2 linked regions of the Alligator mississippiensis genome follow. The main gene of each other region encodes a partner of the protein of the gene in region 2 in a complex. Links are inferred from orthologs where the notes say so. Each region holds a gene or a part of one and is shown on either strand. Other genes may lie near its edges.

Region 1 (7,654 bases), on a different chromosome or scaffold from region 2:
CTCCCAGAAGCCAGTGACAAATGCTACTAGCAAGTGCAAAACAGTGCTCTGCTGTCTCAGCCCCAGGGGCAGCAGATGCCCACACTGGAGCATTTACAGGACATTTGTCATCCTCCCCTAAGAATCCCATACGTCAGTCTCAGAGGAGAGGGGGATCTGCTTCAGCGGGGGCCAGCGTGTCACTACTGCCACCTTGCCAAGGAAGCAGGGCTGCTATGGGCAGTTCTCTCCCGTTTACAGCAAGGCCTTCCCTTTTTCTGGCAGCAACTTACTCCTTGTACATGGAAACAGGTGGAAGGGATGAATCTTAGCAGAGGAAAGGCCGATGCTACCCCCTGGTGGACACCCATCTTCCAAACCCAAGGGACATCACCTTGCTCTAGAGAATATATGGCAAAACCATCTCTCAGCCTCAGCACCCGGCAGGGCCACGCTGCCCCTAATCACGGTAAGAAACGCCAATCCCCCTAGAAGGGGCAGCTCAACACAACGGATTCTCTCTGCTCTGGGAAAGCCCCGGGTTCAACCCGTAAAGAGACTGTGCCAAAGGGAAAGCGACTGGCACCGGGCAGGGCGAGCTCCTCGAGATGCTGCCTCACTGTGGTTGGAGCAGCTTATCCCCATCGGCAGAGGTAGCTTATTTTAACATACCGGTCAGTTTATCTTGTAGCGCAGGGAGCTTCAGGAAAGTGGGAACCCCCGCTGGGGAAAGGCGCTTAGCACCGTGTGACCGAGAGCACGCACGTGCTGCACGCACCGCGACGCAGTTTAGAAAATGAGTCGCTTAAGTGTTAGATGTGATTTCCGGAGCTGCGTTTCTGGGGCTTCGCAAGCACATCCTCAACGTGCCCCTTTCTTCCTCGGTGCTGCTGTAAGGCCCCACAAACAGAAAAGGAAACCGAGGGCCTGTCTGGAAGGGTGGGATACCGGGGAATACACACCAACCTCCCACTGCCAACTCCCTGGTTCAGCAAGCTGCGGTTGGCCCACAAAGGCAGGAGCTGAAGCGTGTGCGCGATGGCTCTAGCATGTATTAACACCTGAAACCCCCTTTAATCACCAGACAAGCACTCCTGGATTTTTTTCCATGCGCACTGTTTTGCCTTTAATATCCAAGACACCTGTGAGAGCAGGTATTACTGGGTCTCCCGGGACCAAAGATAACCTTCCTCCCATGTCCTCCAAGAACAAGACCGCTGATGCAACAGGGCCTGCTCGCCCCTCAGCCGTCAGACAGGCTCATCCCACTCGGCAAGAGCCTCCTAAAACAGCTCAGAGCAGGGTGCGCCCGGCCCTCCACCCACCGACCGACCGCGGCCAGGCTCCCCCTGCTCGCCGCAAAGCCTGGGCCTGGGCGCTGCTCCGAGGTCCCTGCCGTCCTCTCTGCCGGCTGGGCAGCGCGAGGACGCAGCTCTCACCCGGTCTCCAGGAAGAGCGAGGCCTTCAGCAGAGCGTCTGAGTTGGGAAGGAAGGAAAGGAAAGAGCCGTTAGTGCCGGGCCGCGCCGTGCCGCGGCGTTTGGGGTCACAGACGCAGATGGAGACGGAGACGCACCCCATCTCAATTCGCTCCCAGCAGCGAGAGCGGGCCTTTGGGCAACTCATGCAACAGGAGACGCGGCCTTTCCCTTGTCGGAGGCCGCGCTCCGAGTCCGGCAGTCCCCGTAAAACGACCGCGTGGCCGGTTCGGTCCCGGTCCGAGCAGAGGTGCGCGCGCACGGCCAGCGGTAACGGCCCCCGCGCGGCAGCTTCCCGTTACCTTCCACGACGTCCGGGTTGTGGCGCTCCAACAGCCTCCCCCAGGCCCGCGGCAGCGCCTCCATTTCCGACAAGTCCTCGCGGTGCGCGCGGAGCAGGAGCAGCTCGCACTCCAGGTACCTTGCCGGAGCTAAGGTCCCACGTGGGGAGCACGACGGACAACACCGCAGGCAGCGCCTGCTCCCACGGCCCGACCCCCGCCGCCGGGAAGGATACGCCTGCCGGTAGCAGCGCTCCGCGTCCCGCAGCCAGGCCAGCGCGTCCGCCAAGGAGGGGCTCAGCGCCGAGCGCCGCACGGCCGCCGCCAGCCCCAGCTCCCCCGCCGCCGCCGCCGCCTCGTACAGCTGGAAGACGGCGCCCACGCGCCCGCTCGCCGCGTCCCGCACCTGCTGCAGCGCCGCCCTGCGGCGACGGGCCGCGGTGAGGGCGAGGGGGAGGAGCCCACCGCCAAGCCCCTCCCACAGCCCGGCCCCGCCCCGCCCCGCCCCGCCCCCCCACAGAGCTCACAGGTTGCGGGCGAGGCGGTGGCGCAGGGCCGTGGCGGCGCCGCGCTGCTTGTGGCGGAGGCGCGGGCCGAGCGCGGGGAAGGCGCGCAGGGGGGTGCGGGGCAGGGCCACGCGCCGCGCCGCCCGCATCTGCGCCGCCAGGTTGGCCAGCGCGTCCAGCAGCGGCGCCACCGCCGCCAGCGCCGCCCGCCAGCCCGCCGCCCCCGCCCGCAGCGCCGCCGCCTCCGCCTGCAACGCGCCCCGCACCCGCGCCTCCGCCATCACAGCCGCGCCGGAAGTGACCCCGCGCGCCGCCGACCGCTTCCGGGGCGCCCGCGGGAGGGGTCGGGACGTGCTGGCGTCACGCGCGGCGCGGGCGCGGATTGGCAGAGCGCGGGGGCGGGGCCGGTTTGAACGCGGCGGCGGCGAAGGCGGCTCTGACTCCCGTCTCGCTCACGGCCCCATGGCGCCCTCCCGCTCCCGCAACAATGGCGGTGCCCGCAAGAGGAAGCTCGCCGCCTTCCTCAAGGACTTCGACCGCGAGGGTGCGGGGCCTGTATGGGGGGTGGGGCTGCAAGGGTGGGGGAAGGGAAGGGAGTCTGTTGGGGGAGGGGAGGGGGTGCAAAGGGGGGGGCGCAGGCTGCAGCCCCCCTCCCTGGGGGCGCGCGAAGGGGTTTCGGGGGAGGCGGAGGCGCCGGCCCGGCGCGATCCCGCTCACATCACCGCGCCGCGCATCTGTGTCCAGTGCAGAGCCGGCTGTCCCGGGTGCAGGCGGACGGGCAGAGCCTCATCAAGGAGCTGGAGAAGCTTTACGACATCGAGCTGCTCCGGCTTCCCGTCGCGCTGCGAGAGATGAACTGGCTCGGCTACTTCGGTGCGTCGCGTCGCGTCGCGGGGCGGACGCGGTCGGCGGGGTTCACGAGCCGTGCGGGGCGGGCGCGCAGCCCGGGCTCCTGGCGGCGGCGATCTCCCTCCTTAGACCAACACGGGTTTTGCAAAAAAAACCCATCTTTAATGGCAAGTTTCCGGGTTCGGAGGACGTTTGTGCCCGAAAGCTGCAATTAAAGATTTAGTTTTTTTAATCGAGTTGGTCTAACGAGAGGGATCACCTCTACCGTGAGCCCGGATTTCTTTTTTTTCGGGACCAATCCAGCTACAAGCTGGATACCCGAATACTGACGTGTAATGTGGGGCTAGATTAAGGCCCCCCGCGCACGGCGTGGTCTCCTGTGCCGCAGCACGCAGGAGATCTTGCCGTGTCGCACGGGATCATCCGTTTTAATTTTCACCTAAATGCTTATTGTTCAAAAAAGTTCCAAAATGCGTTAGCTTTTGGCTGCCTTAAACGTGCCGGTAGGTGAAGGCTGGCATTGGGGCGAAGCAGTGAAAAGTCACGTTGTCTTCTCGTCCCCAAGTTCTCCAGCCAGGGCATCCTTCCTGAATCGCCTCGGCAGGACACTGCGAGGCTGGGGCGTTGCGGTTTGTGCCGTGGGCTGCTCCAGGCCTGCCGGCCGTCTTCCTTTTCCGCTAGGTGTTGCTTGCTTTTAAAACGTATGCTTTAATATATAACTAGCACATGACGCAAATGTCTCTAGTTCGCCTATTTATGAAGATAAACGTTCTCTTTCTAGCTAAAGGAGGAAGTAAAAAAGCCCTAGAAGAGGCAGCAACGGTAAGCAGGAAACTTGCCTCACTGTTTTCACTCAATGCAAACCCCTCGGAAGATATTTGCTGCATCTGACGTGCTCGGTTATCCTAAGGCGGGGGTGGGCAAAATGCAGCCCGCCAGGACGTGTTATCCAGCCCGCGGGGCCCCTAAAAATGTATCTGGCCCTGGCTGCTTGTCAGGCAGCCCTCGGTGGCTTGCCAGAACGCAGTAAGCATTTTGGCAGGACACCCACCCGTGTCCTAAGGGCGTGGTGCAGGTCGCCTCTTGTCAGCCACCAATCCTTGTTTCCAAAAGTTGGCACCAGCTCAAGTAGAGGTTTTATTAAACGGTGGGTTTAATAAACCATTGACCTTTTCAAAGAGGACCAGGAAAGGCAGTGTTCTGAGATCTCTCCCTTAGCGTCCATATTACATGATGTCTTCATTTCTTTTTCAGTAATCTTGCTTTATGGGAAGCCTTTTTTTCCAAGCCTGTGTATCAGCAGTGCGCCCAGACAGAGGGCCGAGCAGTCTCTGGTCTCTGCCATTGAGCCACCAGAGATCACGTACTTATACAGACCAAAAAACACTCCAGTTTGGGCTTGGGTTGGCATGAGACGGGTGACTGGGAAAGCTGAAATAAAGCTCTGGGACTAGATAGCAGGCAGGTCCTGCCAGCTGCTATCTTTCCTAACGTGCTGTAAAAGCCCCGTACATGAATACAGCCAAGTGCCAAGAAACCCAGATGAACCTTTGTTTTAAAAGCAATTTGGGATTGATGCTGTAGTCTTGTAAACTATTAAAAGTATGAGTGCATTTGGTTTCAGCAATAACATATCTCTGGTTGTGATTTCTTTCTGGTTTTAGGCAGATGTGGAAATATCAGAAATAAACAAAATCACAGCAAAAGTCATCCAGACGCCTTTCAAAACGATCAAGAAAGGTCAGTTGGTTTGTAAGGGTTGTTAGGTAGCCCTGTGTGCGGTCAGATGCACGGGCTGCGTGACTGCGGTTTTGCTTACTGGTCTTATCAGCTGAATTATTTCAGCTCTGATTCACTGCCCAAAGTAGGATGAAAAGACACCATATTTCCAGATGATGTGGTGGTTTTATATCTGGGGAGTCTTTTCTTAGGTTTGCTATATCTTTCAGAAGCATTCTCTGCACTTATCTGAGCCTTCAATACGCCATCTTTCCTTCTGAAATCCCATTTGTCCTTCTACAGTGTTCTCAATAACTGCCCCCCAAAATATCCACAAAGGAACAGCTCGGTGAAGAAGAATCATTAGTCATTTGAATTGCCCTTGATTTACATGCAAGTGCACCTCCGTCTAATATGGACGTTTTTCTTTTCTTTCTAGCTGGAAAATCCAAAAAAGACATTGGAGCTTTTGAAGAAACCGAGTTCTGTTTGCTCCCTGCTTCAAAGAAAAGCAGGCAGGAGAGCCAAGCCCTTGAAGAGCCAAAATCTGAAAATACCCAGCCAAGGACTGAAAAGGTAAGCGGATGATTTTTATTTTGGCAAAAGCCCAGTCAAAAAAGGACTGAATAGTGGTTGGGATAATGCTTGTAGACTTGCCTAGTACTGCTCACAACAGAATACCTCTGTTCTGCTTAAATAACAAACGCCCACTTCCACTTGTGACACTGCACGGAGCTTTTTTTATTTTGCAAAAATATGGAATCGGTAAGCTATACGTCTTTCCAGGATGGGATTTTAAAGCATGTCTGTGAAAATGTTCTCTGTTGTATTAGTAACATTTGAGAGACTCTTTTTTTTCTTTGTGCAACTGACAGTGCTGTCTGCAGTCAGATGTCCTAGTTTGTTTGGGAAAGCAAACACAGAACAAGCCTCAGGGTAACTTGAAATAGGTGATACCTAGGACTCATTAAGTTTTGACAATGCAGGGAAACATTTTGTAGCTGTTTCTTCTCTCGGTTACAATGTTCAGGCTTACGCAGGGTGCAGGCGCCTTTAGCAAGGATCAAAATACAAGCCCTAATGTTGAGATTCTCCACGTCTTAGCTCTAGGCTATGATAAAGCCTCTAAGGGGAAATGTCTCTTTTTACAGTTTCCTTGGCTGGGAAGGGGACAGTAGGCGTCTACACATGCAATTGGGGCCGAGCAATAAACTCCAGCACCGTTTGCACTGGAGCTTATTACTCCCAGGCACCATGTTTGCATGAGCGCCTGGGGCCGCAGCACGTTGAACCAGGGTGGAGCAGCCCCAGCTGGCAGAGAGTCTGGGGGGTCAGCCTGCCAGCCCAGGGCTACTCCACCCCAACTCAACGTGCTGCAGAGGAGCTGGCTGGAGCACAAGGGTGCTCCAGTGGGGCTAGCTGGCAGGCAGCCCCTGCACTGAAACAACCTCATGCCCCAGCCAGCCAGGTCAGCTTCTGCACGCGTGTTGCAGCAGACTGAACTCCACCGTAGGGTAGTACTTGTTTTGGGCAGTACTGTCCTACAGCAGAGTTCGTTTTAATTTACTCCGGCCTAATAGCACCGCATGTGTAGACGCTGACGCTTTACTGCGGGGCTAATTGGTCAGCTCCACAGTAAAGCATCTCGTGTAGACGCACCCCGTGAGGTTTTTTTTTAGCTCTCGTTGTCAAAGTTGGCTTAGTTATGGTGACGCTTGGAAGAGGAGATCCTTCCAGCCCTATTCTTCTATACTTCCATGAATTGTGGCTAGGTCCCAAAATAGTAAATAATTCACTGGCTCATGTTTCAGGCAAAGGCAGCAGCCAAAAGGCCTCCATCTAGGAGCAGAAGGTGTCCTTCAGCGAAAGTAAAAGCTGCTAATAAAAGGTAACAAGGGAGTACCGTTGGTAGGGGGAGGAGAGACCAGAAGGTCCTGTTGCCAGTGCACTGGCAGGTGGGAAGGAGCAGGGGCTGATGCGGCTGGCACAGATGTGCCATGCTCTGGGAGTAGCAAGCGGAGGCGTTCCTTGGAGCACAGTCTCCTGGGTGGTGAAGTACTTCTCTTTGTATTTGCAAAGCTTTCGTTATCTTCTGGCTTTTTTCCAAAGACCTCCATCATTCATGCCTCTAAAACCTGCAAAACGATCACTCTTCAAAGGAGCATTTCCTTACTAATGTCACCTCTTGCACAGGACAAGCAAAAGTAATTATTCCACTCCAGCTGTTGGCCGAGCATTGGATGCCTGCACGCAGGGCAGTACCTCTGCGGTCCTTTCCAGGTTTGATTCCAGGTGAATGTCCATTTTGTCAGCAGAACTATTTACCTCTCTTTTTTCATGCCTGCTGTGAAAGATTGCCTTGCTATCTGTTCTGCACAGTCCTGTCCCACCTGCTTCCATATGCATCAATTTGTTGCTCTTGGGCAACACTACTCTACAGCAGCGACTTTAGATCTGTTGATATAATAGAGCAATTAGCATACACCAGTATTGCAGTGCTAGGCTCCATGATCTCTCCCCGCTCCCATAAGGGCTCGTACTGCAGTACTGTCTGCACTTTGCAGAATGGGGTGGGATCCTGGAGCCAAAGAAGTGAGCTTATTTGACTAGTGTCAGGGGGGGTCCGTACCCAGGAGTCAGGGGGAGTCCGTACCCAGGGGTAAGAATTAAAAGTGGAGACTTCATAACTCCCACACTCTGCTATGTTCAGGCTTATACTTTACAATGGGCAAGGTGATGACTCCTCTCCCCCTTCAGCACCCTCCCCCCACCCTTTCCTTTCTCCTACTTGTCTGAACTTCTGCTCAACATGTTCAGGCCTTCCCAGACCATTGGCTCAAATGA
Region 2 (7,970 bases):
TGTGCACATGCTCCTCCTCCATTAGGATTCTCTGATATCCCTAAAGCAGACAGAGCTGGCTTAAGCTGTAGCCCTACCTGGTCCAGACCCTCATCCCTCACTTTTCTCCCAGAAAGAGGTGAGCACGTAAAACTGTCCTCTCTGCCTCTGCTTCCACAGCACCCCCAAGAAGATCTCATGGTACCTCAATCGAGAACCACTCCTCTAAGTTCTGTAACAAAAAATGCAACTTGCAAACCTTCTTCCACTGAGTTATTTTCCATTTGGGCACTTAGTTTGTTTTAATCTGCAGTTTATATTCCATTAAAATACTTCAGAATGAGACTGTAACATCAAGTGAGTTGCCTATTAACAACAACAACAACAAAAATTTCACCTTCTATTACAAACTCAAGATGATTGCATTTTCCATTATTACCCATGTTTAAATGGACTCCAAGATTGGCCAAAGTTGTTCTTGATATTTTGGATTCATGGCTAGCAAGCTTAAAGATATTGTCTCACAATACAAAATGTTTACTGTGGAGGAATTTTAAGCAGCCGCTTCTGCGTCCAGAGCCAAAGAACATTCCACACCTAAAACAATGTTCTAGAAAACCAAGGCCTAGAAATACCAGTCTGCTACAAAAATTAAACACACACATTTGCAAAACCAATGCCACACACACAAATAACAAACCACAGTGTTGTTCAACATCACAAAAATGTTACCTAGGGGTGGATCCAGGAATGCACTGGTGCACTTGCACCTCCATTTGATTCCTGCTCTATGCAAAGTTTAAAACCAACTGCCTGATAATGACAGCAGCATTACTAGTCAGGCAGCACTGAGGGAGTCGCTTGACTTCATGGCTTCTTGTCATTTACCTGCTCCCCTCTAAAATTTTCATTCCACAGGTGTTAATGACCTTCTCCTTTTTAATGGTCTTGATCAGCATTTCTCAACCGGTGGATCGCGCCCCAAAAGTGGGTTGCAAGAATATTTGAAAGGGTTGCAAGGAAGTCCCAGAAAAACCCACGAAAGTGCAGGTTTCCCCTTGCAGGCTGGCAGTGTTCCAGCCTGCTAGAGCTGCTTAGGATGTATGGAAACAGCAGGCGCACATGCACCTGCACGCACAGACGCACATGGCCAGCATGCCACAAGGCTAGGTCGTGGGAGCAGCCCCAGCAGCTGGACACAGGTAAGTGTATGAGAAGCGGGAGATGGAAGTCCAGGGGACTGTCCAGAGGGCTGGGGTGTGTGTGTGCACATGTGCATGCGTGTCACACAGGTACTGAGGACAGTGGCCAGAGGCAGGACTGTGGCAGGGCAGGGGGAGCGGCAAGGAAAGGGTGCCTGGCCCTTTAGCAGGAAAAGAAGGCAGGGGTGGTTCTTCACAGAGGGGAGCTGCATGCCTGGGTGGGCAGCACAGGGCCACTGCCTATACACATACTCACTGCTCATGCTCTGGCCCAAACAGGATGGGGGCAGCTGGGAGCCCCAGCAGCAGGGCTGGGAGGTAAAGGACTATGGATTGGGAGTGAAGGACACCAGCATGGCCCGGGGGGGAGGGCGGGGGGGGAGAAGGGTTTGTGGCTTGGGGGTGAGGGGAGCTGGCAGGGAACTTTGGGTCAGGCATCAGCAGGGCCTGGGGGTTGTGGGCGGCTTGGGATAAGACATCGATCTTGGCAAACGGGTCCCAGAACGAATAAGGTTGAGAAGGTTGGTCTTGATCTTACACCAATCAAGCTATCCTTTGTTCTGCTATATGTTCGCTGCTCCTGGTACTGAAATGCCTATTTCACAGCCCTGCAGATGCTTTCTAACTCATTCCAATTAAGTTTGATTTGTTTTTGCTTCCATTTTAAACTGAATAACACAGCCCTAGTCCCCTAGCATATTAGTAACACTTCTAGTTTATTTTTAACTGGAAAAAAACAGATGTTGTTTTATATGTGATGACGCACCTGCCCCTCTGCACCCCGCTTTTCAAAATTTTAGATCTGCCTACAACCATACCCATCTCAGCACACCTTCCCAGCATGTCTAGACCCAGCTCACAGATATAAAAGGCCAGTCTGTGTACCTGTCCTTCCGTCCAACCTTCTTTCATTTGCAGGCCCCAAAAAATGTTGAATGGAGGTAGGGAGTGGGACCCCTTTGAATTATAAGTGTGGGTATTCACACACTTTTAATTGATCACAGTCATCTTTTATGGGCCCCTTAGACATAGTCTGTGGACCCCCAGGAATCCGCAGACTACAGGCTGAAAACCACCAGTCTATAGTGTTGTCATCTACAACAATTTTACATTCATCCTTGAACCAAGAAACCAGGCACTTTAACAGTATGTGTTTCCAGGCCATTTCCTTACTAGCATGCAAGAAAATTGCTGTGCAAGACTTCAACTTAAAGGCCCCTGCTACATGTTATGCAATTAACTGGTTAATTGCACAATAAGTTTAGACCGGCCACACATGCAAAGTGAGACTGGCCACAAGTGCAAAGTAACTGTCACATGATAAAAATGACTATAAAAATGCCAACATAAAGGTAGTGCTTGAGGCCCCTGCTACAGGGTACATATTACGCAATTAACTGGCTAATCTCACAATAGATTTAGCCTGGCCACAAAAGCGAAGCAACTGTCACACGATAAAAATTACTAGCCAGCTCTAAAAAGAGCCAACCTGATATAAAATCTGTACTTGAAAATGCATGACAGCTGGGTTCTATCCAGCTTTCATATGAACATGTAGCAGGGCCTATACTAGCACACAAGGTAGCTGTCGTACAAGACTGACTTATAGGCCCCTGCTATATTACATATATTATGCAATTCATTGGTGAACTATGCAATAAATTTAGACTGGCCACACCTGCAATGTAATTATCACGTGATAAAATGACTAGCCAGCTCTAAAAATCACCAAACAGCTATAAAGTTAGTGCTTGAGGCACCTACTACATGCTGTATGTACTATGCAACTGAGTGGCAAATTGCGCAATAAATGTAGACCGGCCACATGTACAAAGTAACAATCACATGAGAAAAAGGAGGCACCAGCTCTAAAAAGAGCCAACCCCCTCCAAAGTTAGCGCTTAAAAATGTGTGATAACTCTTAGAGCATCTTTACACATGCTCTGGGGCTGGGGGCACTCTAATTAAAGCACCTGCAGCAGCTCATGTATTCAGTATCCTGCACTTCAAAACAGCAGTGGAGGCACTTTAAGTAAAGCTCGTTCAGTGAGCTTTAGTTGAAGTGCCCCCACCTCCATTTTGAAGTATGGGGATGCTGAATTCATGAGACACAAAGGCAGCTGGCGTGCGTTAATTCATACAACTTGAACCAAGTCTGCTCTGACGTGCTGTAACTACAGTGAGTCAGAGCCGTGTCCCCGCACCCCTACAGCCACCCCTGGAGCTGGCTTCTGCCCAGCCCCCATCGCAAGGTGTGGCAGGGCCGAGGACCCCGGCACACACGCAGCCACACCCCTGAGGTGGCCTGACAAAAACAGCGGTGGCCTTAGGGCTGCTGGGGCTCTGGTCAAGTGAGGCATTTGGGGCCCCTTGAAGGCTTAATTTTGTTGACCTATAAGCAAGTCAGACATTTTTTATTTCAATTTCACATAGCCCTATCCACGAAACTGCAATGCAAGTATCTTAATACCTTATTGAGGATACAAATATTCAGTATCGTTCATTTTTATTTTTATAAAGCGTGGGGGCCCTGCGCAGCTGCCCGGTTTGCCCTCCCCTCAGGCCACCACTGATGAAGACCGTCCTGCATTCGAAGGCTCATCAAACTTGATGCCAGCTCCACAGCGGGTCTGCTCAAAGCGATCGCCCTATGAAGCCCTTCCTTCCATTTCGCATCGTTTCTGGACTCTCACGGTCACTGCGCTGCCTGGACGCTGCGTGGCTCTGCACGGCTCTCGCACGACAACAGCGCCCTGGGCGTGCGCAGCCCACCCTCACCTTCCCCCCCTCAAGCGGCTCAACCCCCGCAGGGGCCGGCCCGGCCCGGCACAGCCTGGACCGCTCCTTCCCCCTGCCTCGGCCAGGCGGGTACTGAGCACCCCGGGAGCGGCCCGGGCCGGACGCTGGCAGGGCCCCGCAGCCCCGGCCCCTCGAGAATCCCCACCTCGGCTCCGCCGCGGGGCCGGGGCAACAGACGCGGAGCGACGCCCGAGGCCCTCCCGCCCCGCGAGACAGCGCCCAGCGGAGGCGCCGCCGCCGCACTCACCTCAGCGCGGGGCCCGGCGGGGCGGGGGCGGGGGCGGGGCCGGGCGGGGGCGACGGAGAACAGCAGCCGCCGCTGCGCCGCTCCGAGCCGCGGCCGCCGGGGGGCGGGGCGGGGGCGGACGTGAGCTCACTTCCGGGGCGGGACCAGGCCGGGTCATGGCGGGCGGCGATGGCAGGTGAGAGCTGAGCCGGGCCGGGCGGGGGGTTTGCGCGGGCCTGGAGGAGCCGCTGCCGGGCGGCCCGGGGCTTGTCTGGGGCGGGGGGAGGCCCCTGCTACACGTTACATGTAGTGCGCGGTACAGCCACACGCTGCGTATTGCAGGTTGCGCCATGAACCCTGCACTGCATGTGGACTGGGCACACGTTACATGTGTAGTGCAGTGGACTGGGCACACGTTACATGTTCATGGTGTAATACTGTGTGCTGCACGTAGACCGGTCACACGTTACATGTGTAGTGCAGTGGACTGGTCACACATTACACGTTCATGGTGTAATACTGTGCACTGCACGTAGACCGGTCACATGTTACATGCATCGTGCAATGAACCATGCAGCACACATGGACTGGTCACATGTTACATGTTGCACAATGGCCCATACACTAAATATAGACCGGTCACCCATTACATGTATTGCACAATGAACTGTGCATGACACGTAGACTTGTCATGCGTGATGTGTTGTGCAGTGATCCATGTGCTACATGTAGACCAGCCACACATTACATATATTGTGCAGTACACACAGACTGGCGAAACACTATGTAGTACATGTATTGCACCATGAATCATACGTTACATGAGTAGACCACCCACATTACATGTATGGCACAATGAACTGCACAGTAAATGTCGACTGGCCACATGCTACATGTACCGCAGTTTGCCGTGTGTTACATGTAGACCAGTCACACATTACATGTACCGTGCAAGTATGGGCGACAGGTGTCTCCCAAGTCTGGGGAGGCACCAGATTGCCAATGGCGGGGGAGAGGGGCATTTCTGGTTTCGCAGCTGGCACTTCCAGGGGGTGCACCCCCTACGCGTTGCCAGTGGTGTAATGAATCACGTACTGCACACAGACCAGCCACATGCTATTATTTGTATGCATTGCTCAGTGAACTGCATAATACTCATAGACCGTCTACATGTGAAGTAATTGTCACAGGAGAAAAAAGGGGACTAGCTGGCTCTAAAAAAGTACTAAGTTGCAATAGAGTTACTGCTTGAACATGTGTGTCAGCTCTACAGCTGGTTGCTGCCCAGCTTTTGTGGGAATGTGCGGCAGGACCCCATGTTGGTAGCAAGGGTATGTGCCCACAATTGTTGCTGTTCCTGTAGCAACTACCAATTCCTGCCCCTCGATTTATGGCAGATCTGTGATGGTGAAAAGGGGGGTGAAGAGGGAGAGGTGCATCATTGCATAAAAAACATCACACATTTTTCTCCAGTTAAAAATAAACCAGAAGCTTTATTCATCCACTAGGGGCCTAGGGCTGCATTATTCACTTTAAAATTGAAGCAGAAACAAGTAAACAAGTCAAACTTCATTGGAATGAGTCTACACTAGTGGACCATGAAGACTATTAAAAAGAAGAGAGGGTCATTAACACCTGTGGAATGAAGAGTTTAGAAAGGATCAGGTAGATTATAATGAGTCATGAAGTCAAGTGACTCTCTCAGCTGCCTAACTAAAAATGCTGCTGGCATGGCCAGGAAGTTGGTTTTAAATTTTTGGTAGATCAGGAATCAAAAGGGGCACAAATGCACCAGTGCACATCCCCGTGGATCCGCCCCTGCCCTCTCTGCTATGATTTTCTATATAAAAGAGGGAAACCCCCCTGGTTCTTGTGGCAGTTTCTGGGATTGTGGGGCTTATCTAAGAAATTGAGCATCAGCCCACAAAGCATGTGCTCTCTCTTTATATCTTATCTTGTTTATAGGGTGTATCTCTACCTTGCCTTCTGACTGACTTCAGACCAACACAGCTGACTACCTCTCTCTTAAGTTACTGCCATTCTGCTAAATTCTGTTTCATTTTCTCAGCTGTCACCAAGGGAGAAGCAAAGAAAACATCACATGGACACGTGCAACTATGATCACCAGGTGGAGCAGCACTTCAGTTCCTTGTCACAAGTTTTAAAGCTGCTTTTTCTGTCCTTTTTACATAGCAAAGAGCCCTGCAGTTGTGACTCCCAAAAGACCTGTTTTATCTGTTAGCGCAAGGAAAATTAAGGATAATGCAGCAGATTGGCATAATTTAATGATGAAATGGGAGAGCTTGAATGATAAGGGTTTCACGGCCGCCAACAAAATTGTGAACCTGAAAATTAGCGCACAGTGAGTATGGCACGCAGTGAGTATGGCAAAATATGACCTATGGGCCAGATCTGGCTTGCCAAGGAATTTTATCTGGCCTGCAGTAGGTCACTTGGCCCTGCCTAGCCCAGGAACGGAGGACAGCCCAGCCATGGCACACGCAGCCAGTCCCACTGCTCCCAGGCACAGGGCAGGGGCAGCATGGCAGTCAAACTCTGCTTCTCAGGAGCAGCCCCTTTTGACTGCTGCCACTAGCATCTCCACTGCTGCCAGAGCCAACCCCGCTGCCCAGGCAACTCTGGCCTACCCGCCTTGCAGCCACCACCAGGGGCACGAGGGAGCAGGAGGGCACAGCGTCCATTAAGACTGGCTGGGAGCCCTGTGGGCAAGGTATGCCCCACAAGGAGGGTAGGATGGGACTGCAGGGAGCAGATCATGGCTCTGCCCTAGACCCTGCACTGTCACTGCCTTGGGATCTTGGCCCCTCAACCTGTCCCACTCCTGGACACTGCTCCCTGCCTGTCCAAGTGTGCCCTGCCTACAGGGGTCCTGGCTGATCTTCATGGAGATCCCACCTGCCTGCTCTGTCCAGCACCCACAGTGGTAGGTGCAAGGTGGATATACCCTGGCCAGATAATATCAATTGATGCCGTGTGCCAAGCTAGGCCAGCACTTCCCACCCCCAATCTCCCTCCCCAGCCCAAAATAGTTTATCCAAGTTCCTAAAGTGACCCTCCAGCCAAAATAATTGCCCATCCCTGTTTTAGGGCATAAGGTAACCTATTACTAGTGGGGTTTAGAAAGAAACTTTCACCGTAAACAGATTATTTCATTACTGCCTAATGTAGGCTTCTCACCTCTTCCCGAGTCATCTGGTGCTAATCTGTGTTGGATGGTAGCCTGAAGAAATCACTCATTGGTTCTCTTATTGGTCACAAAAGAGGCTTGTAGGATGCAGGCCTTAGAATTGTGGAGAACAGCATGGATTTTAAATTCTTAGCATTCTGAGTAAAGGTGTACAGAGGCACTCACGCTGATATATGCTTTTGTATAGATTTAAAGATAACAGGCTGGAGATTGAATGTGAGAACCCTACTCAAGACTCTGGAAAGCTGTCTCCTCACTATAATGAAGAACTGGAGATGTATTGTACAGAATTACTTGAGATACTGGAAAACATGGTAATGTTTATTTGTTATTCTTCCATACTGTGTATTCCCCATTCTTATTTATTTATTCAATTTATATGCTGCCCTTCCCAACAACGGCTCAGGGCAGCTTAGAGCAGGAGAACAGAACAATTTATAAAACAGGCAAGTGACAAGAGAACAAAGCAATGTAAAAGGAGACCTAGAATATCAACATAAAATAGAGACCCACTAAGCCAGAGGTGGCCACCCTGTGGCATGAGTGCCATAAGTGG

What was found. The genes of interacting proteins can lie anywhere in the genome.
Region 1: the proteins of CINP (region 2) and AIRIM are in contact, whole or in part, in a cryo-EM structure (PDB 8RHN), measured with the Homo sapiens proteins. The link is inferred for Alligator mississippiensis from reciprocal best matches to the Homo sapiens genes CINP and AIRIM. Residues at the interface, in NP_116019.1 of Homo sapiens: Leu161, Leu162, Thr165, Glu169, Asp177, Leu178, Leu180, Ser181, Tyr182, Ser184, Met185, His188, Pro190, Tyr191, Val192, Glu193, Ser194; in NP_001289959.1 of Homo sapiens: Leu107, Gln110, Ala113, Ala114, Asn116, Leu117, Phe119, Val122, Ala124, Leu125, Phe128, Pro129, Asp130, Leu131, Arg134, Leu135, Lys138, Gln139, Ala142.

What each region holds. Positions count from the first base shown.
Region 1 is NC_081829.1:1,028,444-1,036,097, forward strand, and holds AIRIM (AFG2-interacting ribosome maturation factor), read right to left. Parts: upstream 2,524-7,654; coding exon 2,264-2,523; coding exon of another isoform or gene 2,159-2,263; coding exon 1,758-2,158; intron 1,706-1,757; coding exon of another isoform or gene 1,536-1,705; intron 1,456-1,535; coding exon 1,415-1,455; 3' UTR 1,079-1,414; downstream 1-1,078. Other genes in the region: CDCA8 (borealin), read left to right, coding at 1,536-1,705, 2,005-2,786, 2,987-3,115, 3,873-3,913, 4,756-4,831, 5,250-5,386, 6,622-6,698, 7,004-7,102. UniProt on the Homo sapiens protein: Part of the 55LCC heterohexameric ATPase complex which is chromatin-associated and promotes replisome proteostasis to maintain replication fork progression and genome stability.
Region 2 is NC_081825.1:285,087,078-285,095,047, reverse strand, and holds the start of CINP (cyclin-dependent kinase 2-interacting protein), read left to right. Parts: upstream 1-4,333; 5' UTR 4,334-4,395; coding exon 4,396-4,402; intron 4,403-6,399; coding exon 6,400-6,568; intron 6,569-7,601; coding exon 7,602-7,728; intron 7,729-7,970. UniProt on the Homo sapiens protein: Component of the DNA replication complex, which interacts with two kinases, CDK2 and CDC7, thereby providing a functional and physical link between CDK2 and CDC7 during firing of the origins of replication.